Anolis sagrei: one gene and its partner. The protein of the gene in region 2 purifies or fractionates together with the protein of the main gene of each other region. This does not show direct contact. Links are inferred from orthologs where the notes say so. Each region holds a gene or a part of one and is shown on either strand. Other genes may lie near its edges.

Region 1 (15,394 bases), on a different chromosome or scaffold from region 2:
ACGTTACACTGAGAGCTCTCCCACATATACACTGGGGCCATGGATGAAGAAGGTTCTAGTTCAGACTCATATAAATGAGCCCATTTGGAACCTTTTCCTACTCTTAAATCTATTTCTAACCATCAAATGTGGGTATATATGTGCATGCCTTCCAGCATAATCTTATCCACATTTTGCTCAAAAATATAAGATGTTAAATTCATTTGTCTCCCAAATAAGCATGCAGCATTAGCATTGAAACCAAAGTTTGCTAGCACAATATCTGCAACATCACTGCAATCTGAATATTTCTGATCAACCCATTGTAAATAAATAGGTGGGATGCTGCTGCCGACTATGACAACGTGACATTACCAGAAGCCCTGTCCAGCACAATTCTATCACTTTCTCAACACTTGATTACTCAAGTATAAGCCTAATACACACAAAAAAATCACTGAATGTGTTCAAGGCAACTCCCTCTTTAGACTCCAGTCTAAAAATAGCAGGTTTTGCCAGAACACATAAAGAGGAAGGGCAGCCAAAATGAAAGAGTGCAGTAGAGGGTTACTGAGATATCCAAATGGACTGGGAAAATGCTCTAAAGCAAAGATGGGCACAGTGTAGCCCAAGCATGGACAAACTTTAGCCCTCCAGGTCTTTTGGACTTCAACTCCCACTATTCCTAACAACCTACAGGCTATTGTCGAAGGCTTTCATGGCTGGAATCACTGAATTGTTGTAGGTTTTTTTCGGGCTATATGGCCATGTTCTAGAGGCATTCTCTCCTGACCTTTCACCTGCATCTATGGCAAGCATCCTCAGAAGTAGTGAGACCTCACTACTTCTGAGGATGCTTGCCATAGATGTGGGCAAAACGCCAGGAGAGAATGCCTCTAGAACAGTGGTTCTCAACCTGGGGTCCCCAGATGTTTTTGGCCTACAACTCCCAGAAATCCCAGCCAGTTTAACAGCTGTTAAAATCTCTGGGAGTTGAAGGTCAAAAACACCTGGGGACCCCAGGTTGAGAACCACTGCTCTAGAACATGGTCATATAGCCCGAAAAAACCCTACAACAACCCAGCCTACAGGCTGTTAGGAGTTATTGGAGCTGAAGTCCAAAAAACCTGAAGGGCCGAAGTTTGCCCATACCTGGTGTAGTCCTTCAAATGCTATTGGACTGTCATTACCGCTCAGATCTAATCATGTTAGGTTTTGTTGTTGTTTTTTTGTCATGTCAGGAGCGACTTGAGAAACTGCAAGTTGCTTCTGGTGTGAGAGAATTGGCCGTCTGCAAGGACGTTGCCCAGGGGATGCCCGGATGATTTGATGTTTTTATCATCCTTGTGGGAGGCTTCTCTCATGTCCCCGTATGAGGAGCTGGAGCTGATAGAGGGAGCTCATCCGCCTCTCCCCGGATTCGAACCTGCGACCTGTCAGTCTTCAGTTCTGCCAGCACAGGGGCTTAACTCACTGCGCCACTGGGGGCTCCAGTCATGTTAGTGAATAGAGAAAGAGATATAACTAGACTGCACCTCCCAGCATTCGTCTCTATGGTCATATTAGTGAATAGAGACGAATGCTGGAAGGTGCAGTCTAGTTATATCTAGAGCAGTAGTTCTCAACTTGTGGGTCACAAAATGTTTTGGCCTACAACTCCCAGAAATCCCAGTCCGTTTACCCGCTATTATGTTTTCTGGGAGTTTTAGGATTTCTGGGAGTTGAAGGCCAAAACATCTGGGGACCCACAGGTTGAGATACACTGACCTAGAGGGCTGTGCTTTGCCTATTATTATTATTATTATTATTATTATTATTATTAGTAGTAGTAGTAGTAGTAGTATCCTGCTCAAAGATGACTCAACACAGGATATAAATATATAATAATAATATGTATTTTGGAGCAATGGAGAGAAAACAAGGCAAGGAAGAAAGATTAGGTATGAAGGTGGGGTAGAGAACCAAGGTAGGAATTTTCCTTCCTCCTTTTTAATACTAGAAAGCAGGGTCATCCAATAAAGCTGAATGGTAGGAGATGTGGGACACCTAAAAAGAAGTGATTCTTCACAGTAGAATTCTTCAAAGATGTGCTGATGGCCACCAACTTGGCCAAAAAGGTTCTCACCTGTGAGTCCACAGGTGTTTTGGGCCTACAACTACCAGAAATCCCAGCCAGTTTACCAGCTGTTAGGATTTCTGGGAGTTGAAGGCCAAAACATCTGGGGACCCACAAGTTGAGAACCACTGACGTAGAGGGCTGTGCTTTGCCTATTATTATGATGAGTAGTAGTATCCTGCTCAAAGATGACTCAACATAGGATATATATACATATAATAATATGTATTTTGGAGCCATAGTGAGAAAACAAGACAAGGAAGAAAGATCAGGGGGGTGGAGAATGAAGATAGGAATTTTCCCTCCTCCTTTCTAATACTAGAAAGCAGGGCCATCCAATAAAGCTAAACGGTGGGAGATGCAGGTCACCTAAAAATAAGTGATTATTCACAGTAGAATTCTTCAAAGATGTGCTGATGGCTACCAACTTGGCCAAAAGGGGGTTAGAACAGTGGTTCTCAGCCTTTGGGTTCCCAGGTGTTTTGGGCCTACAGCTCTCAGAATTTCCAGCCAGTTTACCAGCTGTCACTACCTCTGAGGATGCTTGCCATAGATGCAGGCGAAACGTCAGGAGGGAATGCCTCTAGAACAGTGATTCTCAACCTGGGGTCCTACAACTCTCAGAAATCCCAGCCAATGTATCAGCTGTTAGGATTTCTGGGAGCTGAAAGCCAAGAACATCTGGGGACCCCAAGTTGAGAACCACTGCTCTAGAACATGGCCATATAGCCCGAAAAAACCTACAACAACCCCCAGTTTACCAGCTGTTAGGATTTCTGGGAGTTGAAGGCCAAAACATCTGGGGACCCACAGATTGAGAACCACTTGGTTAGAACAATTCATAGCAATTTACAGTCTATCTCCCCATGGCTATTTATGACTTCTAGTACCAGAGGAGGAGCCTCCAGTGGCACAATGGGTTAAACCAGGGGTCCTCAAACTAAGGCCCGGGGGCTGGATACGGCCCTCCAAGGTCATTTACCCAGCCCTCGCTCAGGGTCAATCTAAGTCTGAAACAACTTGAAAGGACACAACAACAATCCTATCTCATCAGCCAAAAGCAAGCCCACACTTCCCACTGAAATACTAATAAGTTTATATTTGTTAAAATTGTTCTTCATTTTAATTATTGTATTGTTTTTAAGTGTTTTTGCACTACAAATAAGATATGTGCAGTGTGCATAGGAATTCATTCATGTTTGTTTTCAAATTATAATCCGGCCCTCCAACAGTTTGAGGGACTGTGAGATAGCCCTCTGTTTAAGTAGTTTGAGGAGCCCTGGGTTAAACCCTTGTCTATCAAGGGCTAAACCCTTGTCAGGACTGCTGACCAATAGGTCAGCGGTTCGAATCAGGGGAGAGCGGGTTGAGCTCCCTCTGTCAGCTCCTGCTCCCTATGCAGGGACATGAGAGAAGCCTCCCACAAGGATGGTAAAACATCAAACATCCAGGCGTCCACTGAGCAAAGTCCTTGCAGATGGCTAATTCTCTCACACCAGAAACGACTTGCAGTTTCTCAAGTTGCCTCTGACATGGAAAAAAAAGTACCAGAGGAAGTACCTCTCAGTACTAAATTCTGAAAGATATAAGGAATGCTACTCCTATTTGTGGTCTATCCAAAGACACATGGTTGGCCACGGTAGGTAAAGGATTTTGGACTGGACTAGATACAGGCCTCTCTGGTCTAAGCAATGCTGTTTTGTTTTTGTTTTTTAAAGCTCTCTTTCTCTCTTTTAAAACCAGCAGTATACTTTGCACACTGGGCCAAAGGTCCCATAATCTGTTGCATCACCAGCAAAAACCTGTCCCACATGTTCCAGGCCACAGTACAATCTATGTATGCAATGTCTGATGGTTGCTGGATAACTGTCAAGCTGCAGTAGGGAATAACTGGAACATGGTTGAAAACTTGCCAGACAAAAGTGCCATGGGATCTCCTTCCTATTAAGCCTGCTTTGTTTTCCTGCTTGGAGCATCAAAAATCAAAAGGGCAGCTGAGATTCGGGCTTATCTAAGAGAAAACTTCACTGGATATTGTGGGATTTCTTAGGCCTGACTCCAACTCATCCATGAAACTCAATGAGGACTTGTTACATCGGAATTTCTTTAAATCCCCCAATAAAGTGGGTCTACTCTGGCAAATGGTGTAATGGGTTTAACCCTTGTGCCAGTAAGACTGCTGACCGAAAGGTTGACGGTTCAAATCCAGGGAGCGGGGTGAGCTCCCGCCTGTCAGCTCCAGCTTCCCATGCGGGGACATGAGAGAATTCCTAAACATGACTTTTATTGAACATGCCATTTCCAAACAATAAACAATGTTTATACTAAAATTATTTTATGCTTTGTCTGAATGTTTACATTTTATGTATGTCTTATGTTTAATGGTTTTAATTATTTTAAGTTCGTAGTAATTAGTTATTATGATTTCTTTGAGTACTGTATGATGGCATTGAATTTTTGCCATTAGAAAGTTGTAAACCGCCTTGAGTCCCCCCAGGGTTGAGAAAGGCGGTATATCAATACAGTAAATAATAAATTTACTGCCCTGGTGATGCAGTGGGTTAAACCACTGACCTTCCTGACTGAAAGTTTGGTGGTTTGAATCCGGGGAGCAGGGTGAGCTCCCGCTTTTAGGCTCAGCTTCTGCCAACCTAGCAGTTTGAATACATGCAAATGTGAGTAGATGACTAAGTACCACTTCTGCGGGAAGGTAACTGTGTGCCACGCAGTCATGCCGGCCACATGACCTTGGAGGTGTCTATGGACAATGCTGACTCTTTGGCTTAGCAATGGAGATGAGCATCACCCTCCACGCCCCCAGAGTCGGACTCAACTAGACTTAATGTCATATGTTTTCCCCTTAATATGAAGGAAATATTCATTTACCTTTTTACCTTAAATAAAAAAACTAGATTATGGGATCGTTAAAATATGAACCTGGAAGAATAAAAATGGAAATACACCAACTCTTCCCCGTCCCCCAAATAGTGCTTCTCTGACTTGAATGTCAACGGTTCGAATCTGCAAGACAGGGTGAGCTCTCGTCTGTCAGCTCCAGCTCTCCATGTGAGAACATAAGAGAAGCCTCCCAAGGATGGTAACACATCCAGGTGTCCCCTGGGCAATGTCCTAACAAATGGCCAATTCTCTCACACCAGGAGTGACTTGAACTTTCTCAAGTCGCTCCTGACATGGAAAAAAAAGTGGCCAATGGATTTAACCCATTTCCGTTTGGAGAATCCACGCCAAAATAGAAAGTCTAATAATGTGACACCATATCCATCAGATACCTAAATGAGCACCAAACAAAATGCTTTCAGCAGCCTTTAGCAAACTTGAGTAGAAAACACCCTTAGTGGAGATATTGGGGCTTACTTCTAAATAAGCATAACTGAGGTTGGACCTGTTATCTCAACCAACGGGAGAGAACAGAGTTGTCAGGAAACATTGTCATTGCAACATGGGTGGGTGGCTTCTTTCCTTGTATAACATGGACCTGGCAGCACGTCTCCACCAAAACATGGTTTGTGCAATACATAGCTTGGTTGGGGTCCATTGATTGTTTTCCCCTTAATATGAAGGAAATAATCACGCATTTTAGGCCCTTAAGATTTCCCTGAGGCTGCTTCTTCATAGTATCTAACATCACACAAGCGCAGCAGATTCCTATGCAACCCAACCCACCCACCCTGCAACCGTAAGGGATCCTGGGCACCTCAATCCTCAAAGGACTGCCCACAAACTAAGACCAAGAAACACAAGGGATGGAGAAAGAACCAGGCTTCGTCTGAAAGGGAGCTTTTCCAGGAAGGATTTTGCCTCCCCACCAAAGAAGAATGAAGGTGCAAATCCAAAGGAGAGACACTGAAGAGAAGGATGAAGGTGCAAACCCAAAGGAGAGACAGTACCTCCTTGATTCAGAGGAAAGGGGGATTGGACTGGAAGGCCCTTATGGTCCTTTCCAAAGTTTATGATGCATTATATGGAGAGTACAAACTCACAGGAGACCATATAATGCAGTGTTTCTCAACCATCCTAATGTCACAACCCCTTAATACAGTTCCTCATGTTGTGGTGACCCTCAACCATAACATTATTTTCGTAGCTACTTCATAACTGTAATTTTGCTACTGTCATGAATCGTCATGTAAATATCTGATATGCGGGATGTATTTCCATTCATTGAACCAAATTGAGCACAAATACCCGTTACACCCATATTTAAATACTGGTGGGATTGGAAGGGGGATTGATGTTGTCATATGGGAGATGTAGTTGCTGGGATTTATAGTTCACCTACAATCAAAGAGCATTCTGAACTCCATCAACGATGGAATTGAACCAAACTTGACACACTGAACTCCCATGACCAACAGAAAATACTGGAAGGGTTTGGTGAACATTGACCTTGCATTTGGGAGTTGTAGTTCACCTACATCCAGAGAGCACTGTAGACTCAAACAATGATGGATCAGGACCAAATTTGGCACGAATACTCAATATGCCCAAATGTGGACACTGGTGGAGTTTGGGGAAAATAAGACTGTGACATTTGGGAGTTGTAGTTGCTGGGATTTATAGTTCACCTACAATCAAAGAGAATTCCGAACCCCACCAATGATAGAATTGAACTAAACTTGATATACTGAACTCCCATAACCAACCGAAAACACTGGAAGGATTTGGTGGGCATTGTCCTTGAGTTTTGGAGTTATAGTTCAGCTACATCCAGAGAGCACTGTAGACTCAAACAATGATGGGATCAGGCCCAAATTTGGCATGAATACTCAATATGCCCATATGTGAACACTGGTAGAGTTTGGAGAAAATAACTTGACATTTGGTAATTGTACTTGCTGGGATTTATAGTTCACCTACAGCCAAAGAGAATTCTGAACCCCACCAATGATAGAATTGGGCCAAACTTCCCATAGGGAACCCCCATGACAAACAGAAAATACTGTGTTTCCTGATGGTCTTTGGCGACCCCTCTGACACCCCCTTGCGACCCTCTCCCAGGGGTCCCGACCCCCAGGTTGAGAAACACTGCATTATATGGAGAGTATAGATTCACAAGAGTCCATATAATGTATGGTATGGTGGTATGGCAGTGGAGATGAGGCCCAAGGCTTTGGTTCTCTAGAAGGAGGCTTCTGCTGTGTGCCATCCTCGCCCTCCTGGCCACCGCACCAACCCAAAGGAAGGAGAGATTGCGCAGCGGCTTTAAGCAGAGAGGGAGAGGAAAGAGGGCTGGGAAAGGAGGGAAAGGAGGGAGGGAAAGGTAGCTCAGGTCCCCCCCGTGCTTTTTCCACTAAGGACATTTTAGGAGGAGGGAGGGGAGGAGGAGGAGGGCGAGCCCCCGGAAAATGGCTGCCGCTGGAGCTGAGCCCTTTTTGGCACCGCAGCAAAGCGCGCCGCTGCCTCTCCTGCCTCCACCCCGGCGCATCGGATTATATCCTGGCCGATCTAGACAGATATCTTTCGGTTTAAGGGAGGGAGAAGCAAGGGAAGGGGCAAGAGGGGGAGCCAGGCTGTCCCCCGGCCGAAGGAGAAGCCCAAAAGGAGGAGGAAAAGGCGAGGAAGCAGCTCAGGTTAGGAAGGAAGCAGCCCCTCTCCAAGTTACCTTTGAATTTGAGCTCATGCTGCGGCTCCAGGCTCAGGACCTGCTCGGTTTTCGCCATGTTTCTTCTCCTCCTCCCCTTTCCTGCTGTTGCTGTTCCTTCCTCCTGCTGTTGCTTTTGCTCCTCCTCTTCCTCGGGAACCAAAAAAAAGATCTCTATATGCAGAGCTGTCTTTATTAATTATATATGTATAATATATAGGAAAAAAGCAAGAGTAAATCCCCTTTGCGCGCGCAGAGAGAGAAGCAGAACACAGGCGCGCATGCAAAAGGGGCGCGCGTTTTCGCCCTCCTTTTTGTGCAGGAAAGACGCCCTTTCCCCCTTCTTTTTTGGGGGGAAGGAAGGAGGAAAAAGAGAGAGACTTTTCCTTCTTCTCTTCTCTTTCTCACTCTCTCTCTTTTGGGCAGGGAAGGAGAGAGAAAGAGGCTGAGCCGGGCGCGCTCCCAGGGAAAGAGGGAAAGGCGCTGCTGTCCTGCGTTGCCCGGCCCAGGAAGGAAAGAAGGAAGGAAGGAAGGAGGGAAAGGAGGAGAGGAGGATGGGAGGGAGGGAGGACGCTGCAGCAAGGAGAGAAGGAAGGGAGGAGGAAAAAGAGGCGGGGCGAAGGGGAGCTGCAAGCTGACGTCTCCGGAGAAGGAGGAGGAGAAGGAGGAGAAGCAGCCAAGCCCACCTCCACCTCCTCCCTTTTCTCCCCAAGGAGGCTGCCCAGGAAGACAGGAGGAGGAGGAAGAAGCCGCGTTGATTGGATCTATTTAATTATTCATTGCCCTTATTTTTCACCCGCCTTTCTCCCCATAGAGAGACTCCAGCAAACCATCACAAAAGTGATTTAAAGATGTGATAACCAGGCATAGGCACACTTGGGCCCTCTAGGTATTTTGGACTTCAATTCCCACAATTCCGGCTAGGAATTGTGGGAGTTGAAGTCCAAAACACCTGGAGGGAAGGCCCAAGTGTGCCCATGCCTGGGCTAACCTAAAATATAATAATAATAATAATCTATATAAATAAAAATGTAATGAAACAAAGATGGCAGGGACCTAACAGAAGCTGAAGAGATCAAGAGAAGGTGGCGAGATTATACAGAAGATCTGTATAGGAAGGATAATAATATCGAGGATAGTTTTGACAGTGTGGTGAATGAATTAGAACCAGACATCCTGAGGAGTGAGGTTGAATGGGCCTTAAGAAGCATTGCTAACAACAAGGCAGCAGGAGACGACGGGATCCCAGCTGAACTGTTTAAAATCTTAAAAGATGATGCTTTCAAGGTGATGCATGCCATTTGCCAGCAAATATGGAAAACACAAGAATGGCCATCAGACTGGAAAAAATCAACTTATATCCCCATACCAAAAAAGGGAAATGCGAAAGACTGCTCCAACTTCCGTACAGTGGCCCTTACTTCTCATGCCAGTAAGGTAATGCTCAAGATCCTGCAAGGAAGACTCCAGCAATACATGGAGCGAGAGTTACCAGATGTGCAAGCTGGGTTTAGAAAAGGCAGAGGAACGAGAGACCAGGTTGCCAATATATGCTGGATAATGGAGAAAGGCAGGGAGTTTCAGAAAAACATCTATTTCTGCTTCATTGACTCTTCTAAAGCCTTTGACTGTGTGGATCATAATAAATTGTGGCAAGTTCTTGGTGGGATGGGCATCCCAAGCCACCTTGTCTCTCTCCTGAGGAATCTGTACAAGGACCAAGTCGCAACAGTAAGAACTGACCACGGAACAACAGACTGGTTCAAGATTGGGAAAGGCGTACGGCAAGGCTGCATACTCTCACCCAACCTTTTTAACTTGTATGCAGAACACATCATGCGATGTGCGGGGCTGGATGAATGCAAAGCTGGGGTAAAAATTGCTGGAAGAAACATTAACAACCTCAGATATGCAGATGACACCACTCTGATGGCCAAAAGCAAGGAGGAGCTGAGGAGCCTTCTAATCAAGGTGAAAGAAGAAAGCGCAAAAACTGGGTTGCAGCTAAACGTCAAAAAAACCAAGATTATGGCAACAAGAATGATTGACAACTGGAAAATAGAGGGAGAAAATGTGGAGGCCGTGACAGACTTTGTATTTCTAGGTGCAGAGATTACTGCAGATGCAGACTGTGGCCAGGAAATCAGAAGACGCTTACTTCTTGGGAGGAGAGCAATGTCCAGTCTCGATAAAATAGTAAAGAGTAGAGACATCAGACTGGCAACAAAGATCCGCCTAGTCAAAGCCATGGTATTCCCTGTAGTAACCTACGGATGTGAGAGCTGGACCTTAGGGAAGGCTGAGCGAAGGAAGATCGATGCTTTTGAACTGTGGTGTTGGAGGAAAGTGCTGAGAGTGCCTTGGACTGCGAGAAGATCCAACCAGTCCATCCTCCAGGAAATAAAGCCCGGCTGCTCACTGGAGGGAAGGATACTAGAGACAAAGCTGAAGTACTTTGGCCACATCATGAGGAGACAGGAAAGTCTAGAGAAGACAATTATGCTGGGGAAAGTGGAAGGTAAAAGGAAGAGGGGCCGATCAAGGGCAAGATGGATGGCTGGCATCCTTGAAGTGACTGGAGTGACCTTGAAGGAGCTGGGGGTGGTGATGGCCGACAGGGAGCTCTGGCGTGGGCTGGTTCATGAGGTCACGAAGAATTGGAGACGACTGAACGAATGAACAACAACATAAATATAAATAGATGTATAAATATCTGGGCATGCTACAGTTGGACACTATCAAGCATGGGCATGTAGAAAATGGTCAGCAAAGAATATATCCAAAGAGAAAGGTTTTGAAGAGCAAATTAAATGGCGGAAATATGATCAAGGCTATCAACACCTGGGCCTTCTCCGTCATTAGATACACTGCTGGAATTGTGAACTGGACACAAGCAGAGCTGGGTGATCTGGACAGAAAAACAAGAAAACTCATGACAATCCACTACGCATTACACCTGTGTAGTGATGTCGACAGACTTTACCTGCCCAGAAAATCAGGAGGCAGAGGGCTTCTGCAAGTGAAACAAATGGTAGAAGAAGAGAATCATGCACTGGCAGATTATGTGAAAGGCAGTCAAGAACCAACATTGAGGGAAGTCAATAGTAGTAAACTGCTTTGAGTGCAAAAGACAAAGAGTAAATATCATAAAAACACAATCCAGAGCAGAAGAGAAGACTGGCAAAAGAAGGCTCTCTATGGACAATTCCTGGGAAAAATTGAGAGCCAAACTGACAAAGAAAAAACATGGCTGTGGCTCACAATTGGAACTGATTCTGGCAGCCCAAGAACAAGCCATTAGAACAAATGCCATCAAAGCCAGAATTGAAAAGTCGACGACAGATCCCAAATGTAGACTCTGCAAGGAAGAAGATGAAACAATAGATCACATCCTCAGCTGCTGCAAGAAGATCACACAGACAGACTACAAGCAGAGGCACAACACCGTTGCTCAGATGATTCATTGCCACAAATACCATCTGCCTGTGACAAAGAACTGGTGGGATCACAAGCCGGAAAAAGTTACAGAGAAAGAACACGCCAAACTCCTCTGGGACTTCCGGATTCAAACAGACAGAGTTTTGGAGCATAATACTCCTGACCTCACAATTGTGTTAAAAAACAAAGTATGGATTGTCAGTGTCGCAATCCCAGGTGACAGCAGGATTGCAGAGAAACAACTGGAAAAGCTGACATGATATGAGGATTTAAAAATCGAACTGCAAAGACTCTGGCACAAGCCAGTCAAGGTGGTCCCAGGGGTGATCGGCACATTGGGTGCGGTGCCTTAAGACCTTGGCCTGCACTTAAACACAATCGAGGCTGAGAAAATTACCATCTGCCTGCTGCAGAAGGCCACCTTACTGAGATCTGCATGCATTATTCGCCAACACATCACACAGTCTTAGACACTTGGGAAGTGTCCGACGTGTGATCCAAATACAACAGCCAGTAGAGTGATTCTGTTTGCTATGTTTCAAATAATAATAATAATAATAGATCCATTTAGTTTTCTTGGCATACTGGGGTGGGTTGCCATTACCTTCCCCAGAGATCGTGTTCGGTCTGACCTTTCTGCCATGACTGTTCCATCTTGGGTGTCCCTTCACGGTTTCACTCGTGGCATCATTTAAGTGCTCAAGCTGCTGCATCACGGCAAGGTAACGATCCTTTCCGGGACAAGGATATGTCAAGGCTGTATACTTTCACCTAACCTATTCAACTTGTATACAGAACACATCTAATGAACAAAGGTTGACAGCTACTATTCAGTATGTTTAGAACCGCAGCCTTACATCTCTGCTAAGAAGGGAAATGTCATTTAATTCTATGGGACTTACTCGCAAATGTGTAATCGCCTTCGGGCTGATATGGGCAGGATAGAAATAATGTAAATAAATAAATAAATGTGCGGGGCTTGACGAATTCAAGGCTGTAGTTAAAATTGCTGGAAGAAACATTAACAACCTTAGATATGCAGATGATACCACTTTGATGGCCAAAAGCAAGGAGGAGCTGAGGAGCCTTCTAACCAAGGTGAAAGAAGAAAGTGCAAAAGCTGGGTTGCAGTTAAACATTTTTTTAAATAAAAGATTATATCAACTGGACTGATTGATAGCTGGAAAATAGAGGGAGAAAACATGGCGGTAGTGACAGACTTTTTATTTCCAGGCTGAAGACTGCAGAAGACATTTACTTCTTGGGAGGAGAGCAATGACAAATCTCAATAAAATAGTGAAGAGTAGAGACATCAGGCTGGCAATGAAGATCCGCATAGTAAAAGCAATGGTATTCCCCTTAGTAACCTATGGATGTGAGAGCTGGACCATAAGGAAGGCTGAAGGAAAGAAGATTGACACTTTTGAACTGTGGTGTTGGAGGAAAATTCTGAGAGTGCCACGAGAAGATCCAACCAGTCCATACTCAAGAAAATAAAGCCCGACAGCTCATTGGAGGGTAGGATATCAGAGGCAAAGATGAAGTACTTAGCCATGTAATAAGACAGGAAAGCTTGGAGAAGACAGTGATGCTGGGGAAAATGGAAGGAAAAAGGAAGAGTGGCTGACCAAGGGCAAGATGGATGGATGTTATCCTTGAAGTGACTGGCTTGACCTTGAAGGAGCTGGGGGTGGCCATGGCTGACAGGGAGCTCTGGCGTGAGCTGGTCCATGAGGTCACGAAGAGTTGGAAGCGACTGAATAAATGAAGAATAAATTATTATTATTATTTGAAAAAATCTTTATTTGTACCCCACCACAATCTCAACTCACTCCTGACATGAAAAAAAAAAACTGCATTGGCAATCCATAATATCCGTATACCAAATTTGCTTCCTTTTTCTCAGCTTTCTTCACTGTCCACTTTCACAGCCATACATAGAAATAGGAAATATGATCACATGGACAGTCCTAACTTTGGTATCCCATGATATATCTTTACACTTGAAAGATGAGAGGATTAGTAGCTCCCTTTTTCACATGACTGAGTGTTAGGAAATATGCTCAGAGGTGTCAGTTTTAAATCATTCTAAGCCACCCCCTGCCAATCCCCTGCCAAAAGAATAACACTTGGCTTGAAATATATAGGCAGGGATGTAAACGTTACAGAAGAATGTGTGTAGGCAGGAATTACACAAGGCATAGACTCCCCCAGAAGTCAGGGTGGGCACAAGAATTAGGGCATTCCTTCAAATAAGAACTGTATACTTTACAAGCTTGGGAGTGATCCTGGATTCATTGCTGAGCCTGGGACCCCAGGTTTCGGCAGTGGCTAGGGGAGCTTTTACACAGTTAAAACTTGCGCGACAGCTGTGCCCGCACCTTGGGAAGTCTGATCTGGCTACAGTTGTCCACGTTCCAGTTACATCACAGATAGATTACTGCAATGCACTCTACGTGGGGCTGCCTTTGAAGATGGTTCGGAAACTCCAGCTAGTCCAACGGGTGGCAGCCAGATTACTAACTGGAGCAACATACAGGGAGCATACCACTCGCCTATTATGTCAGCTCCACTGGCTGCCGGTCCACTTCCAAGCTCAATTCAAAGTGCTGGTCTTGACCTATAAAGCTCTAGATCAGAGGTCCTCAAACTATGGCCTGAGGGCCAGATATGGCCCTTCAAGGTCATTTACCCATCCCTCGCTCAGGGTCAACCTAAGTCTGAAATGACTTGAAATCACACAACAACAACAACAATAACAACAACCCTATCTCATCAGCCAAAAGCAGGCCCACACTTCCCAATGAAATACTAATAAGTTTATATTTGTTAAAATGGTACTTCATTTTGATTATTATATTGTTTTTAAGTGGGTTTTGTTTTGCACTACAAATGTGCAGTGTGCATAGGAATTCATTCATGCTTTTTACAAATTATAATCTGGCCCTCCAACAGTTTGAGGGTCTGTGACCTGGCCCTCTGTTTAAAAAGTTTGTGGATCCCTGCTCTAGACAGTTCTGGCCCAGCTTACTTGTCCGAACTCATCTGCCTCTACACCCCACCTCGTAATTTAAGATCATCCGGGGAGGCCTTGCTCTCGCTCCTGTCAACATCGCAAATGCACCTGGTGGGGACAGGAGACAGGGCCTTCTTGGCTGTGGCCCCGTGCCTGTGAAATGCGCTTCCAAATGAGATAAGATCAGCTTCATCCCTCCTGGCTTTCAGGAGGAAATTGAAATCGTGGTTTTGGGACCAGGCTTTTGGACAGCAGACATAATTAGCACTTTGATTGGAAATTGACTGGAATGGTGTTACAGCTGATGTTACTGTTTATTGTTTTAATTAATGCTTTATGTACTGTTTTTAATTAATGCTTTATACATTTTAATGGTTGTTGCATTATTGTAATTGTTTATATGTAGCGGCATCAAATCGCTGCCAAAATGTAAGCCGTCCTGAATCCCCTTTCTGGGGTAGAGAAGAGACAGGGTAGAAATACCAGAAATAAATAAATAAATAAATAAATAAATAGTCTCAAGCGCAGCCAGTGTTGCCAAGGGTCAGAGTCTTTAGGAATTGAAGTATAAATCATCTTCTGGAAAATCCTTAACATACAGCAGACATACTACTGAGCAACTGTACAGTAGACATACTCCTGAGGACCTTATGTTATTAGGCATGTGTAATTTAATTAGTTCATTAATCCCACGTTATCCCCTTCTTTCACTTTCATTTTCTTTTGTCCTCTTTGTTCTCCCTACTCTCATAATATTGATTGTGTGTATCGGGGACAGAGACCTGCCCCCCCCCTCCCCTTTTGTTATTTTGTAAAGTAATCTGCAAAGTATTGTGCTGAAAATTGCTACAATATACCTGTTATATGCAGACTGTAGCCAGGAAATCAGAAGACGCTTACTTCTTGGGAGGAGAGCAATGTCCAGTCTCGATAAAATAGTGAAGAGTAGAGACATCAGACTGGCAACAAAGATCCGCCTAGTCAAAGCCATGGTATTCCCTGTAGTCACCTACGGATGTGAGAGCTGGACCTTAGGGAAGGCTGAGCGAAGGAAGATCGATGCTTTTGAGCTGTGGTGTTGGAGGAAAGTTCTGAGAGTGCCTTGGACTGCGAGAAGATCCAACCAGTCCATCCTCCAGGAAATAAAGCCCAACTGCTCACTGGAGGGAAAGATACTAGAGACAAAGTTGAAGTACTTTGGCCACATCATGAGGAGACAGGAAAGCCTAGAGAAGACAATTAT
Region 2 (15,877 bases):
AGAGAAAAGAAGGTCTTTGGTTATGGTGGGGAGTTATCTGGAAATTCTGGGAGATAGTTTTTTGGAGTTTGTACATATTCAAGTAGAGAGACATTGTGATGCAATGGTTTGGACATTGGTCTATAATTCTGAAAACCGAAGTTTAAAAGGCCACTCAGCTATGGAAACCCACTGGACAGTGATATTATCTCAGCCGCAGAGGCAGACAAAGGCAAACCCCGTTTGAACAAGATTTATGAAGAAAGGTTCCTTGATAGGGTCACCTTAGGTTCAGCTTAAGTCAGAAATGTATCGAAGGCATACAACAAGAATAACATATTTGAGAAATATTTGGGTTTTTTAATGTTTCACTCAAATATCATTCAAATTCTTTTATTTAAAACTTGGGAGCTTCAGGGAACACAAACATGGGGTTCAGGGGCCACAGACAGTCTACATTTTCCCCAGCTCTTATCTTGTACATCTAGAGAGCTACACAGAGTCATTTAAAAGATTATTACTGTGAAAACCTCTGAATTATAGCACCAAACTTTTGTAATGTTTTGCTACTGAATTTTAGCAGTCAACTGCACCAGACAAACACACTGTCACACAATGGTGCCCGATATTTCTGAACTGGGGGGCTTGTGAAGGCATCCAAAGGGATTTAGGGGCTGCATGTACCCATGGGCTGCATTTCCCCACCTGACTCCAGCTGAAAGGAAATTGCACATGCTGCACAAAACCTATGCTGACAAATCATTAACAGCATTGCTAATTGACTGAAGAGGAATAGTGTTGTCTGAGATTGGATTTAATCATTACTACCATTCTGGTCTTTGGTGAAGCTCAGTGCAAGAACCAAAACTGTCTCCGACTTTACACTGCAACTTGAACTTGTTGGCCAAGGTCCAGTAATAAAGCTCTGTGCCTTGAAAAGCATGATTTCAGAAACTGCAAGGTTTCTATTAGTAATTAAAGCTGGCTAGCATTTACAGCCCAGCTGTCATTAGATTTTTGCAGATATCTCAACTTGGGTCTGTCATTTGCATTTAATAGAATCAAAGAACTGGAAATAACCCCACAAGGCTATACAATCCAATCTTCTTATCATGAAGGAATCCACAACCGAAAAATTCCTGACATTTTATTTTTGCATGGTTGAAACCTGATGAAGGTAAAAGATTAAAACCTATGTGATGATCCAGGAAAGAAATCAATGTTTTAAAAGTGTGAACTAGTGCTTGCTCACCCTCCTTCACTTTCCCCATCATCTGTATTGACTGTTCCTGAGCTGGCTGTGAAATATATGGAGCTAGATCCTGTAGAATCACTCCTTTCTCTGGGATATGGAAAACGCCTTCGACGAATAACCTTCTGGCTTTCTTCTAGATGGGATCTGCAAGAGGAGATTAGTATGGTGAAAGGTTCACTTCATTCTTTTTTAACTCTCCCTTGCCTAAAATCAAAAATCATTTCATCTTGTTTAGTAACATTTACAGGCATGGGCAAACTTTGGCCCTCCAGGTGTTTTAGACTTTGACTCCCACAATTCCTACAGCCTATTGGAACTGAAGTCCAAAACACCTAGAGCGCTGAAATTTGCCCAAGCTTGATTTAGAATGAGTCCAGTTAAATGCCTGTAACATTTACCAACTATAATACAACAATTTCACTTTACCAGCAGCTACAACTGAGAAAAAATGCTGACAACAATATCTGCAATTTGTGATATTGGTCCTGAAATGCCCACTAAGAAGTAATTTTGTAATATTTGGTATCATGTTTAGCCTTTTCCAACAAGAAAAGAAAGTGGGCAGGAAACTGCCCACAAGCATCCCAAAACATGGTGAAACTTGAGAAAATAACTGTCTTTGGGGGGGGGGGGGGGCTACTGATGTCCCAAAGAACCTCAAAATGGCCTTGGGTGCCACATTATTCCTAACCCTGGTTTATCATTATGTGTGAAACAGGCTCTTCACAAGAGACATAAGCATTATGGAAAAGGCTAAACATGACCTTTTTTATCATCATTCTACTGAACCAACTTTATACCACTGAGAACAACTTTATACCAACCTGACTTCTCCAATAATATCTCCTGCCAAACTTTGTAGGCTATTCCGTAACTCTTCTACTTCATTCCGCAGCTCTACAAGGCTTCTAAGCAAGAAGTCCAGACGGTTCAGCACTTCAGCTTGTTCTTCACGTGTTAAAAGAGGTGCATATGGGATATTATCACCACCCCCTACTGGTCCTGTTCTCATCAATGGAACTAAAATGAGAGAATAAAGTAACTGCAGTAAGACTACTTCATTATTTCTGTCCAAGATATGTTGCTGCTACTTCATTTTTGGGATTTTAAAACTAGGAATAGATGATATTTTAAAAACAACTTTTTAGAAGCCATCAGCTACCCCATGAATCAGATAAAAAGAACTTGGAATTAAAAAAAAACCAGGAAAGTGAAAATGATATATTCAGTTATACAGGTAATAGGCTTTTATGCAAAACTCTTAAAATCCCTGTATATTCAACCATGTTTCTCATACTAAATTAGGTTTATCACACTTTTTGTTCTACAAGAAATGCATGACAGGCAGGCACAATATGATCATCTCTTGACTAGGAATATGTATTTAACTTAGTCACAGCAGTTAGTTGAGAATGTTGCCCTATTTTTATAAGAATATACCAAAATGTGCACATGTATTCATATTTGTTTTACTGAAAAAGCTGAAGATGTAAAATAAACCATTATGGAAGAAAACAAACTTTGTTCAATCCTACTTGAACAGTCCTGGTTATTGATATCAAAATCTTTATCGTGTTCTATCCACTATGCACACACATTAAAACTGCAACTGATGACATATTTTGTGTTATATAAATAAATGAAAATTATAATTTTCAGAGAAACACAGCTTTAAGTGAGGCACTTTATACCTTCAACCCATGGTCCTGCTATAACTGCATCTGCTATACCAGTCTAACACTAGCATAACATGACTGTAAATGTATAAGTACCCAAGCACCAATGTCATTCCACAATAGGTACAGGGATAAAACTGAATGTCATGAAACTCGCAGAAATCTTGTGCAAAATCTCACAGCATCCTCCAATCATCATACTGTCCAACAGGGCACTTCTACTTAGGTATGAAAGGTCAATCAATGCACAGCAGTAGCCAAATTACCTCATGGTGATAGCCAATACAGCACACAAAACAAGTGAAAAAGAATTTTCTTTCTAACACACACACACACAGAGAGAGGTGCTCGACCATACTCAGTGTGTCTAAATGAAAAACTTAGAGGAATCGTAAGTCTGCTTTAGCAAAAACATCCTCATATAAACAATTTCTGCAAAACTATGAACAACTTATTTATATTGCTGTCTCAATTATAGAACTAGTAGTGGGGGCGGATAATAGATCTTCTACGTACATATTCAGCTTATCACACTCATTTAACTTTTGTCCACATTCTCAAATATTTAGGAAATATTCTGGGAATGTCAGAGGTTAAACCGAACACTTAAGGTGAAATTCAAATACGCCAATCAACTAACAGAACAGATGTCATTGGAGGAATCAGCTTGCCTTTGTAGCCTACCACATGAATCTCCAATGTCCTTTGAAAGAATTACATAGAATGCATGGTACTTGGAAGTCACATTATTGTACGCATGCCTCCTTCTTTTCTATGCATTCACCTTAGTGTTTGAAAAGTGTTGTGGAAAGGGAGCTGCAGACAACTTTTAGGCATCAAAATATATCCTTGTTTGGTAAAGTTGGCAATAGAGCTATAGTTTAAGTAGGAAATCTCTCTAAAATAAACAATGGGGACTTTCAAATTTGTTTACGAAAACATAATGCATGATTGTCTTAGACTCAACATGCACTAAAATAAGCAAACAAAAGAACACTGGCATGTTAATTCCAAGTTCAAAGCAGGGAGGACACAATATATACATCTGTATACATCACATATAGTCTGAATAGCTAGTTTTTGTATAAACAGATGTGGAATAGAAAACATGGCAATCCTACCCTGATTATAACGCTGCAGATGTTCTGTGTGTTCCTGAGGCTCCAGTGCATTGTGCTGACTCTGTAAATTGACAGGTCTTGGTTTGCCTTTATGCCAGGGCTTTTTTCTCTTCTGCTTGTAAAAGTAGTAGAAAAGACCTATTCCTGCAGCTGCTCCTAAGACCACACCAAGTCCCACACGCAACGCTCCCATTTTGGACATGATGCATCTGAAGCAAATAAATCAGAACACATTTATTTATTTTCTTATTATACTGTATTTACAGCTGTTCCTTTGCTGTTAGATTTCAGTGCAGAAAGCATAAATATCAATATAGCCATTGATCATGTAAGACCTGGACAAAAATCCAGATACAAGACTGCTCTGAAACCTTTCCAGGACAAGGAAGGTATTAGCAACAAGCCAGACAATTTCACTGGCACTGGCTTAATAAAACAGAATGCCAATGTCATCAATATTACAAACAATGTGGAAGATATGAACCCATACAATCAGCCCAAGCTAAAGTTCCAAATTTAGATTTCTTTTGCTGGTGTTCAGTGGCACTTAACCCACTTACATGTAAATACATCTATTCCATTTTATTATAGTGGGCTCTTGGAGTCCAGTGGTTCGTTTTAAAATAGCAAGTCAAGGTTTCCTTTTGGTATATGCATATTGTCAGCCCTCAACACACTCCTGCAAGACGAATCACCAGTTACTTCCCAGGGTGCATCTATACCAGGCATGCGCAAACTTGGGTCCTCCAGGTGTTTTGGACTTCAACTCCCATCAATCCTAACAGTCTCAGGCCCCTTGCTTTTCCACTTCAGCCTGTTAGGAATTGTGGGAGTTGAAGTCCAAAACACCTGGAGGGCCTAAGTTTGCCTTGCCTGATCTCCACTGTAGAATTAATGCAGTTTGACATGCTTTAACTGCCATGGCTCAATGTTTATGTATTGTCTGTCCTTGTTCCTTGTTAATTGTACAATTGTCATTGAATGTTTGCCGTATATGTGTTCTGTAATCCGCCCTGTGTCTCCTTGGGGAGATAGAGTGGAATATAAAGTATATTATTATTATTTAAAACACAACAAGATTAGTCCACAGCAAACAAGATCACTCTGCTGGCTGTTGTATTGGATCACACATTGGACATTTCCCAAGAGTCTAGGACTGTGTGATGTATCGGCGAATAATGTGTGCAGATCCCAGTAGGGTGGACTCTTGCAGCTGACAGATGGTAATTTTGTCAGCACTGATTGTGTTTTAAGTGCAGGCCAAGGCCTTTAGGCACTGCACCCAGTGTGCTAATCACCATTGGGATCACCTTTACTGGCTTGTGCCAGAGTCTTTGCAGTTTGAACTTTAAATCCTCATATTGTGTCAGCTTTTTCGGTTGTTTCTCTGCAATCCTGCCGTCACCTGGGATTGCGACATCAACGATCCATACTTTGTTTTTTAACACGATTGTGAAGTCAGGAGTATTATGCTCCAAAACTCTGTCCGTCTGAATCCGGAAGTCCCAGAGGACTTTGGCGTGTTCATTCTCTGTAACTTTTTCCGGCTTGTGAACCCACCAGTTCTTTGTCGCAGGCAGATGGTATTTGTGGCACAAGTTCCAATGAATCATCTGAGCAACCATGTTATGCCTCTGCATGTAGTCTGTCTGCACGATCTTCTTGCAGCAGCTGAGGATGTGATCTACTGTTTCATCTGCGGAGTTGTCTTCAGCATTCTCAGCCAGAGTGCTGGACCCTCCTCAAACTTTCTAAAGTATTGAACCATAGCAGTTAAAGCGGTGTCAAATTGCATTAATTCCACATTGCAGATGCACTCCTCCCCATACCCCTGCGTGAGTGTGCGTTTTTAACACTGTGAGGCATGGCTGAGGGGAGTTTTCCTAGCCCAAGGGCGACCAAGCCAGCTGGAAAGGGGCTTCAAGGCTCTCCCGACTCCAGCCCAGGCGCTTTGAAAACTGGGCCAAGCCCGACTGGCCATGACAGCGCATTTCTTAGGCCACAGACAGGCGCAGAGGGAGGGAAGAGGGGCCTCAGAGAGGGCAGGGCAGGGGCCCAGGCACTGGGGCTTCTGGGAGTTGCTCCTACACGCTTAAATGGAAGGAGGTCCATTGTGCTCATGGGGAGCCCCAATTCCAAAGCAGCTGTACGGTCAAAGAGCTACAAAACAAGGCGGGCGTTTGTGTACTTCTGCGGTCCCTTCCATCCTCCCTTCCCAAGCCCAGTCTGTCTCAGGCGCACGGAGGCGGGTCCTTTGAAGGCGCTTCTTCCCAGCCCTGGCACGAAGGGAGGAACCCCTCGCGGCGCTCTTTCCAGCGTGACCCCCACCACTACGCTTACTGCTCGGTATGTCCTCATGCGGCCACCGTCCGCCTCGCTCTTCTCGAGCCGCCCCTTCGGCAAAACCTTCACCCTTCCCCGCCGGCGCGCAGAAGTGACGCAACGTGCTGCCTCCCGCCGCTGCTTAGCTAACGGCACAACCCACTGTTCTGTCAAGTAGAGAATGGCGTGGAGAAGTGACGCAAGCAGGCGGGGCACGCCTCTCTTTGGAACGTAGCATACCCTCGAGGCAGGGGCCGGGCAAAGAAGAGGGAGGGAGAGAGGGAGTGTGCGGGTCATATCAAACATGTGGGAGCCTCTGATGGCGCAGTGGGTTAAACCCCTGTGCCGGCAGGACTGAAGACCGACAGTCGCAGGTTCAAATCCGGGGAGAGGCGGATGAGCTCCTTCTATCAGCTCCAGCTCCTCATGCGGGGACATGTGGAACACATCTCACCATACTAAAACAGTGGATGTGGCTCTTAATGAGACATGCCGCATTATCACGGGGTGTCTGCGCCCTACATCACTGGAGAAATTACACTGCTTAGCCGGTATTGCACCACCTGACATCCGCCAGGAAGTAGCAACCAATAGTGAAAGGACCAAGGCAGAGACATCTCCAGCTCATCCCCTGTTTGGGTATCAGCCAGCACGCCAACGGCTTAAATCTAGACATAGTTTTCTAAGATCTACAGAGACACTCGCTGGAACACCTCAGCAAGCGAGAGTCCAAAAGTGGCAGGCTCAAACCCAGCACCTCAACCAATGGCTGATACCAAATGAGAGACTCCCTCCTGGGCACACAGAAGACTGGGCGACTTGGAAGGCATTGAACAGACTGCACTCTGGCACCACGAGATGCAGAGCCAACCTTCAGAAATGGGGCTACAAAGTAGAATCCTTGACATGCGAGTGTGGAGAAGAGCAAACCACTGACCACCTGCTGCAGTGCAGCCTGAGCCCTGCCACATGCACAATGGAGGACCTTCTTGCAGCATCACAGGAAGCACTCCAAGTGGCTAGATACTGGTCAAAGGACATTTAACCAGCTACCAAACTCACAAGTTGTGTATCTTTCTGTTTGTTTGCTTTGTTCTGTTAGAAATGTAATATAATGGACTGGTTGCTCTGACACGACAAATAAATGCGGGGACATGAGAGAAGCCTCCCACAAGGATGATAAAACATCAAATCATCCAGGCGTCCCCTGGGCAACGTCCTTGCAGACAGCTAATTCTCTCACACCAGAAGCTACTTGCTCCTGGCATGACAAAAAAAAATCAGAGATGTGGACGACGCAGGCTCCTTGCAGGAAATAACAAATACTTGGAGGAATTACTGTAGAGCAGTGTTACCCAACCTTCCTAATGCTGCGACCCCTTAATACAGTTCTTTATGTGGTGCTGACTCCCAACTGTAAAATTATTTTATTTGCTACTTCATAACTGTAATTTTGGTACTGTTATGAATCGTAATGTAAACATCTGATATGCAGGACCAAACTTGGGACAAATAACCGGTACAGCCAAATTTAAAATCTGGTGAGGCGAGGGGGGGGGGGGTTGATTTTGTCATTTGGGAGTTGTAGTTGCTGGGATTTATAGTGAACGTGCAATCAAAGAGCATTACGAACTCCACCAACGATGGAATTGAACCGAACTTGGCACACAGAATGCCCATGACCAACAGAAAATACTGGAAGGGTTTGGTGGCGTTGATCAAGAGTTTTGGAGTTGTCGTTCACTCCAAAAACTCTTGATCAATCCCACCAAACCCTTCCAGAGAGCACTTTGGACTCAAACAATGATGGATCTGTGTGAGGATTTGAGAAAAGGCACAATATTGTGATGGGTTAACTGGAGAGGCATGTGTCACTTTCAAACCAGGAACCGATTTTTCCCCCAAATTGTATTACATAGTGTTGTTTACATAACTTTAAATTAGAAGTCATTGAGAGATAGGTATAGCAGCCATTTAAGATATAGGCCTGACACCAGGTGACTTCAAGAAAATAACAAAGATTTGTAGGAATTACTGCAGAGAATCAAGAGAGAAAATATTAGCGAAATCAGACTAAGAAATCAGAAGAAGACTAGGACGTAGAAAGGCAGCTTGGGAAGGAACTGGACAAGATTCTGAAATGTCAGGATACATAATTGAATACTAAAGTTAGGATAGTCCATACGAGCATCTTAATTTCTATGTGTGGTTGTGAAAACTGGAGAGTAAAGAAAGCCAATAGGAAAAGCATCAACTCATTTGAAATACAGTGATGGAGAGGAGTTTTACTGATACTATTGATTACTAAAAGGACCAATAAACGTGTCCTGGTCTGAACATTCCCAAGAAGCTGAGACTGTCCTTTGGGATATCGTGAGAAGACAGGACTCAGTAGAAGTCAGTAGGAAAAGAGGAAAACTGTACTGCCAATAGAGATACTCAATCAAAGAAGCCATGGTCCCAAGTTTGCAAGACCTGAGCAGGGCTGTTTATGATATCCTCATTCATTCAATTGCCAGAAGTTGAAGTCAGTTTCATGGCCATTAACAACAACAACAACAAATGCATGGTGTGGCATGTCTTCATTCCAAAACTGGTAACCTGTGGGGAAAACGTGTATATTCCTTAACAATGCACTGTTATATATAGGAGTACTGGGAGATACAGGAGCTCTGAATTGAGAAAGAATTGGAGTTCAATGTTTCTATCTATATTCAGTGGTAGATTCAAAATGTTAACGTTGAAGCCCTTACTGGGCACAAGCTGTGTAGTTCCAACATAATTTCCACATGCTTTCATCTCCACCAAGCTTAGGTCTTTTGTAAAGAAAATGGGTCTTGTTTGCTCAAGATAAAACCTACAAAAGGAATAATTCATACAAGCACATTGTTTTGGGAATATCTCTTCTTCCTCCAGTGAGGAAAATGTCTAATCAGAGTTTATAGTAGAGTTGAATTATGACAGAAGGGATGGCCTTGCTCATCACAAAAATTGTACCAGCAATCCCTGGCTTCACCATACCACAAGGTAAATGATGGAAGCTAAGTGTCTGTGAGCCTGTTTAGGTTTATTTGCCACTTGAAACATTTTAGCTCATTCTGCAATTAAAACAAATCAGTCAAAACATTTAAAAAGATGACTACAGGTATCTACTGAGAGACCAAAATTCATGGATGCTCAATTCCCATTATATACAGTGGTGTAGTGGTGTAGTAACATGGCATCCCTTTATATAAAATTGCAATGAACTCAAACAAGTGATGGAGAGAGCCTGAAGATCTGTGAAATGATAGGAAGCTAGAACTGAATATACCTACACATCTGTGTAATGCTTCGTGTGCAATAAAATCAAATTTTGTTTTGTTTTGGGGATTTCCCCCACAATTCTTTGGAGCCATGATTGGTTGAATTAATGGGAGCAGAACCCATGAATACTGGGAAAGACTGAACTATAATTATTAGACTGAGGAAGAGAATATCTAACCTTCTGGATAGTGGTGGACTGCTCCTCCTGTCAGACCAAGTTAGAATGGCCAATGGTTTAGAATAATGAAAGTTTTAACTTAACAACATTTGGCAGGCTACCAATGAATTGGACTCCAACCGACAAATATGTTCATTGGGACCCCCTATCACAGATCTCCATTCAAATTAAACAGAAAACTTCATGTCTCAAGATAATAAACTCTTAAATAAAAAGTTAATTGAATAAAACCTTTTTAGATCATATCTACTTTGGAAAAATGTAATCCACACTTACGTATGATTGCATTTCTGTCTCTGTGGCAAGATATCTTTTTTAAAAAACTGAACTACCTCAAAAGAATATTTTTATTATAAGCTTCCCTATGCAAAGCCAACCACAAAGTGACATTTTGTGCATGAAAACAGAAGTAGATTATAAGTGAAAATGATGTTAATTGCACATGTGCCCCAATAACATGTCTTCAACATGAAGAATATCCAACAACATTACATGGCTATCAGATCTCTTTAGTTAGCTGTAATGTAACGATTATAGTAATGTAGTGATTATAATAACTATAATGATGTGATCGTCCCTTTAGATGTTTGTTGGCACTCAAAAAAAGCTATTTTCAAATGGAAAAAAATTGAGACAATATTTTTGTTACCTTACCACAGCGGCTAGAATATGTATAGCCCGATTCTGGAAAGCAGAAGAAACAGCAACAATAGAAAACTGGATTGAGAAAACAATTGGCATTATGAATATGGACCTTTTGACCCAAAAACTCACCCAAAACAGATCAATATCAAACAGAACGGATTGGAGTAATTTTATTAAATTCCTAAAAAGAGAACAAATACAAATGGTCATAAAAACAGAATAAAGAAATATCCCGGCTAAGACAAGATACACGCAAAGAGGCATATATATTAGGAGAAATATGTCGGAAAAAATAATTAATACCATGGAAAGCGATCTGGAAGTGATAAGGGGAAATGTATAAATGTACGTTTGTAGTGATGCTGGTCTCTTTAATTTTTTTTAATTTTTTTTCTTCACCATTGCCCTTTCTCCTCCCCTACACTCTTATACTCCTACTTTTCTCTTTATGATGTTCACTTACTTTGACTGTATCAAGAACCAACATCATAGGTATGTCTAGGATATTTTAATAATTTGTTTGTCTGATATGTGTTTGTTTAAGGTTGTTTGTGTCATTTACCAATAAAAATATTTTGAATAAAGAAAGCCCAGAGTTCTGGTGATACAAAATGTCCTTTTACAGATACCATGAAAAGGTGTTATCTAAGGCCTACAACATCTTTGGATAGGAAGGGGCTGCAGTGCAATCATTTCATGTGTTGGATAGGATTTAGAACATTGGAACTGAATAATACTAAGCACTCTATTATGTCTGATTTCTCAGCCTTTTAACTTCTTCTGAGATGTCTCCAAACTTTTGAGACATTATAATTGCTAGTCGTTAAACTTCAGTTGTTTCTAGACGACAATATTTAGTTTTAATCACGTTCAGATACTATCAGATCATGACGTAAGGCAATTGCTTAAAGCTATGAGTTTTCCAGTCATCTAGTGCTGTTTGAAATTTGCTCTTGGCCTGTCAAGGCTGCATTGCTGACGCAGAATTGCTCAGTGAAAGCAAACAGAGTAGATTTCATTTGATAAATCTGTAAGATTGAGTGGGAAATGGAAACAATTTTGCCTTAGGGCTTCTCTGTCTTTTGTTATCAGTGAAGAAATAATAGAAGCTCAAGGCGCTGAGAGTTTGAAGCTGGATTTTTACGGATATTAAAGATCCTATCTAGACAATATTGTAGATCTTAGCTCAGGCTGTATTTATGGAACTTGGCTAGTTTGGGAACATCAGCCTTGTAAAAACTATTTCAATGGGTCCTTGTTGGGTTTCAAAACAAAACCCAACGAGCAATAATGTTCGAATTGCAGAGAAATCCTGCTATAGCACAGCTGTTTTAATGATTACCACCACCATTGTTTTCATATGGGATATGTGCTGGGTGGGGGGTTTGGGGAAGTATGAGTATAGGACCAAAATAACTTTTCCAGACTTTGCTATCAGTTAAAATGGCTATATGAAACTTCCAAATTCAGAAGTAGTGTACTCCTGAGTACCATTTGTTGGAGAGTAGTAACAGAAGTAGGCCATTGTTTGCCCGATTTCCTTGTAAATGAAGGGGATTAAAAAAAAAAACGTTTAAGGGTTGTGAATGGAGTTTAACAGTAGCTTGAACTCAGCAGTTTTTTTTAATGACACAGTGCTCAATGGACTCTGGTTTCATATAGTCTAGAGTTCTACACTAAATGAACAATTAAACCAGTATGTCCTATTTTGTAGCTTATCATGATGCTGTGTCTATTATATCAGCAGGACATATCAAGATATGGAACACGGCTCAAAATGTTTTTACATGTTCTGTTTACCTTGAAAAAACTTAACAATATTTCTTATGACTAAGCAAAATGTTTTATTTAACATGGCTTTATCTCATTTAGGCATTATGGTTACTTTCTGACTTTCCGTCTTCATGGCCTTTCAAGATAATTCTGGTGGCTTACAGAAAGCAACAGAATGCTGGATTAGAGGGATCAGTAGGTTCATACAGCAGCCCAATTTTCAAATGTCTATATGAGATAATGTTGATGGTCATTTTAGCCACATTGCTTTCCTATAAATGCCTTACAAAAGACACCAGTACAAAAGAGCTTGGGTCGGACATATATAGACAAAACATACACAAACACACATATGTAGAGAGATCAGGGAGAAGCTTGTGTGTGGGTGTGTGTGTGGGTGTGTGTGTGTATATATATATATATATACACACACACACAGAATCCAAAAAGAGGCTGGTCCGATTCCTTCTGGGGATGCTTTAGCTGGAGATCCTGCATTGAGGGAGGAGTTGGACCTGTTGTTTCACAAGGCCCATTCAAGCTCTATGATTATGTGACTGGCAACATGTGTGCCTTTCTATGAAGAATGTTCCTGTTCTTAGTTGCAATCAACCCATCCTTCCAACCAGAACATTCATTTCCCCCACTTGAAACTTAGTATGGATATTGACTAGGCACTAGTGAGTTGCACATTCAGATTATTTTATCTTTTGTATGGAATTATTTAAGTTAGTTAGATTCTGTCTGTTTTATCTTTTTTGGTTTGTACATAGACACTTTCTCAAACATTAAAGGCAAAGCTACAGATAGGCACTGGATAATTATTTATCCAGAATTGCCCAAGGGTATAGTTTGCTTCCCTTTGAAGGGCTATTTGGAAAAATTGAAAGAGAAAAGTTCCTGCTGCCTGGTAAGTAATGGATGGGGAAGAGTGAAGAGAGGGAAAGGTATAGTGGAGGAAGAGAAAGAAAATTAAGTGCTAAAATGGAGTGAAAACCAACAAGTTTTCATTCCTTGCAAACCTGAGTACTTTGCCTAGTAAATTATACCGTCCCCATCCCCCCATCCCCCCAATCCTTAGTTGCCTCTGCTTTAATTTATTGTTAGTAATTAGATTAGTAGAAAATGTTATTTATTGGAATTCCCTCTTCTGGTATTCTACTGAGGACCCAGACGTTTCTTATTGTAGATCTTATTTCTTCCTGCTGACAGGAAAGTTCTTAATTCTTTAGTCATGACTTCGAAATGAAAACCATTGTTCCATCATGAAAAACAAGCACATGACATCATTATATGGAGCAGGATCAAAGGAGATAAACTGTGGCAAGGTAATATTCTAGGCCAAGGTCATCTTAAGTAATTAAGAAGAATATTAGAAAGGAAATTTAATTATATTTGATGTGTCCTAGTTTTAGTAAAAACGTAATGTTTTGAAATTCTATAGCTTTTATGTGGCAGGACCTGATGACACACATATTTGCTAATTTGTTTTTATTTGAAACTACAGTACGTGCCTAGACATTTTGTCTTGTAAGAATATTCTGTATTAAACACAATCAAAATGGCTATGGCTGAAAGTTTGAACAAAAAAACAGAAAAAGTGAATCTTGGACAAAATACAGAGTGTATGGCTGAGACACTGTATCAAGAGATATTTAGTTATTTATCACATAACTATATGTCTTCCGAAATATCCCCCAAAAAGACTAGCAAGGAGCAGACACACACAATCAACATGGCCATTTTCAAGTTGTCAGGAGTGGAAGGGATATATATCCAACTATTTTCTTGTAGCTGGACGCATTTCAATGGGCATCTGCCATAATCTTCAGGAGTACTTGTGGCACAATAAATAGCTGGGGGTATCCCCATCCATCTCCTTGCTCTTTGACACCATTGAAACTTGTTTTTTGGAGGTGAGGATTGTGCTGCTTGCAAAATTTTGAAGTGGTTTGTTTTCTGGTCAGAACAGATTTTTGATTTCCAGAGAACCATAAAGGTGAGCAGTTATAAGTCTAGTTTACACCATTGTAATTCATTCATAGGAAGAGATATCGGGCTTGTTTTCTGTTGCCCTGGAGACTAGGACTCAGAGCAATGGGTTCAAATTACAGGAAAGGATATTCCACTTGAACATTAGAAAGAACTTCCTAACTGAAAGATCTGTTCAGCAGTGGAACACTCTGCCTCGTAGTGTTGTGGAAGCTCCATCCTTGGAGGCTTTTAAACAGAGGTTGGATGGTTATCTGTCAGAGGTACTTTGTGCTTTCCCTGCATGGCAATGGGTTGGACTAGATAAGCCGCATCGAGTCCTTCGGGAGATGCTAGCGGGGTACAAATAACATTTAATAAAATAATAATAATAATAATAATAATAATAATAATAATAGATGGCCCATGTGATCTCTTCCATTCTTCTGTGATTCTATGACAGGATATCTTCTAATAACAATACTACTACTACTACTACTACTACTAATACAACTTTTATATAAGTCCTGATAAGTTAGTGATATTCATTTCCAATAGTAATAGTTGTATAGATAATTGTGTTGTCCACTTTGACCTCCATTTCCATTTATTTATTATTTATGTATTTCAAGCATTTATATTCTGCCCTTCTCACCCCAAAGGGGGCTCAGAGCAGAGCACAACATATAAACAGCAAACATTCAATGCTGGGATATAAATAGACTTTACACATACATAAAGATTAAAATCATTTATCTCGACATTAAAATCCACTGTTTAAAACAGTCTCAATTTATATCCTATTCTTTGGCAAGAGAAGGGGAGAGGTTTTTTCTGTTCAATATGGTAATAGGGGTGTTGGAATCAGTAAAGTTTTCTAGCTAGGGTCCCCTTTGTTCTGGAAAGCAATTTCTTGCACCAAGGAATTCAACACTTGTTGCATTATGGTATCTGTTTATTCTGGCAGAGCAGTAGCTGCAACATCTGTATTCAGGCAAGGCAGCCTTTGCCAGCTATTGTTACTGCTGGAGACTTGCCCCTGATGAAATAAAATGATTGTGCTTGTTAGAGACAAAGGAATTGACAAGGAAACCACCAAAGTCCACAGTTATCCCTGTAGGGGGGAGATATCTCTGACTTAGAAGTAAGAAAGGGACAGAAATGGAAATAACTTAATTTTCACACATCTGTGTATGAAAAAAATCTGTTAGCTGAAGATATTTTTGGTGCTTCAATGTGGAAGGAAAGAGGAGAAAAAGGCTATTCATGTACTGTTGCAGGAACATTCTTAGATTACAGCACTGCTAAGCACTTTGGTTGCATATGCAAGTGTTTATACAAGTGAATAATGTTTGTATCCTTACAAATATATCAGGAACTCTTCAAGTTGGGCTGGTATAAACAACTGCCAGGGGTTGGCCCTGGGATGAGACTTGGACACATTGTTTTGTAATGGTTCTCTTTCTTTCTTGAGAAACAAACCCAGAAAATAGTGCCCAGGGTCTTTTTTTTTTTATGAACCTTAGGTCATAATAAAAGACCCTGTGGGGTCCCTTAGGACTCTGGTTCGTCCCCAAGCTATTTAACATATACACGAAACTCTGGGAGAGGTCATCCCAACTCTTGCAGTGATTTCAACTACTAAATGCCC

What was found.
Region 1: the proteins of RMDN3 (region 2) and VAPB purify together in Homo sapiens (affinity purification with mass spectrometry; 4 studies listed by BioGRID and IntAct, counting the BioPlex papers as one, with this or other methods). This does not show direct contact. The link is inferred for Anolis sagrei from reciprocal best matches to the Homo sapiens genes RMDN3 and VAPB.

What each region holds. Positions count from the first base shown.
Region 1 is NC_090024.1:228,268,017-228,283,410, reverse strand, and holds the start of VAPB (vesicle-associated membrane protein-associated protein B/C), read right to left. Parts: upstream 8,303-15,394; 5' UTR 7,777-8,302; coding exon 7,719-7,776; intron 1-7,718. UniProt on the Homo sapiens protein: Endoplasmic reticulum (ER)-anchored protein that mediates the formation of contact sites between the ER and endosomes via interaction with FFAT motif-containing proteins such as STARD3 or WDR44.
Region 2 is NC_090021.1:289,524,998-289,540,874, reverse strand, and holds the start of RMDN3 (regulator of microtubule dynamics protein 3), read right to left. Parts: upstream 6,546-15,877; 5' UTR 6,372-6,545; intron 4,241-6,371; 5' UTR 4,234-4,240; coding exon 4,032-4,233; intron 2,255-4,031; coding exon 2,059-2,254; intron 1,379-2,058; coding exon 1,232-1,378; intron 1-1,231.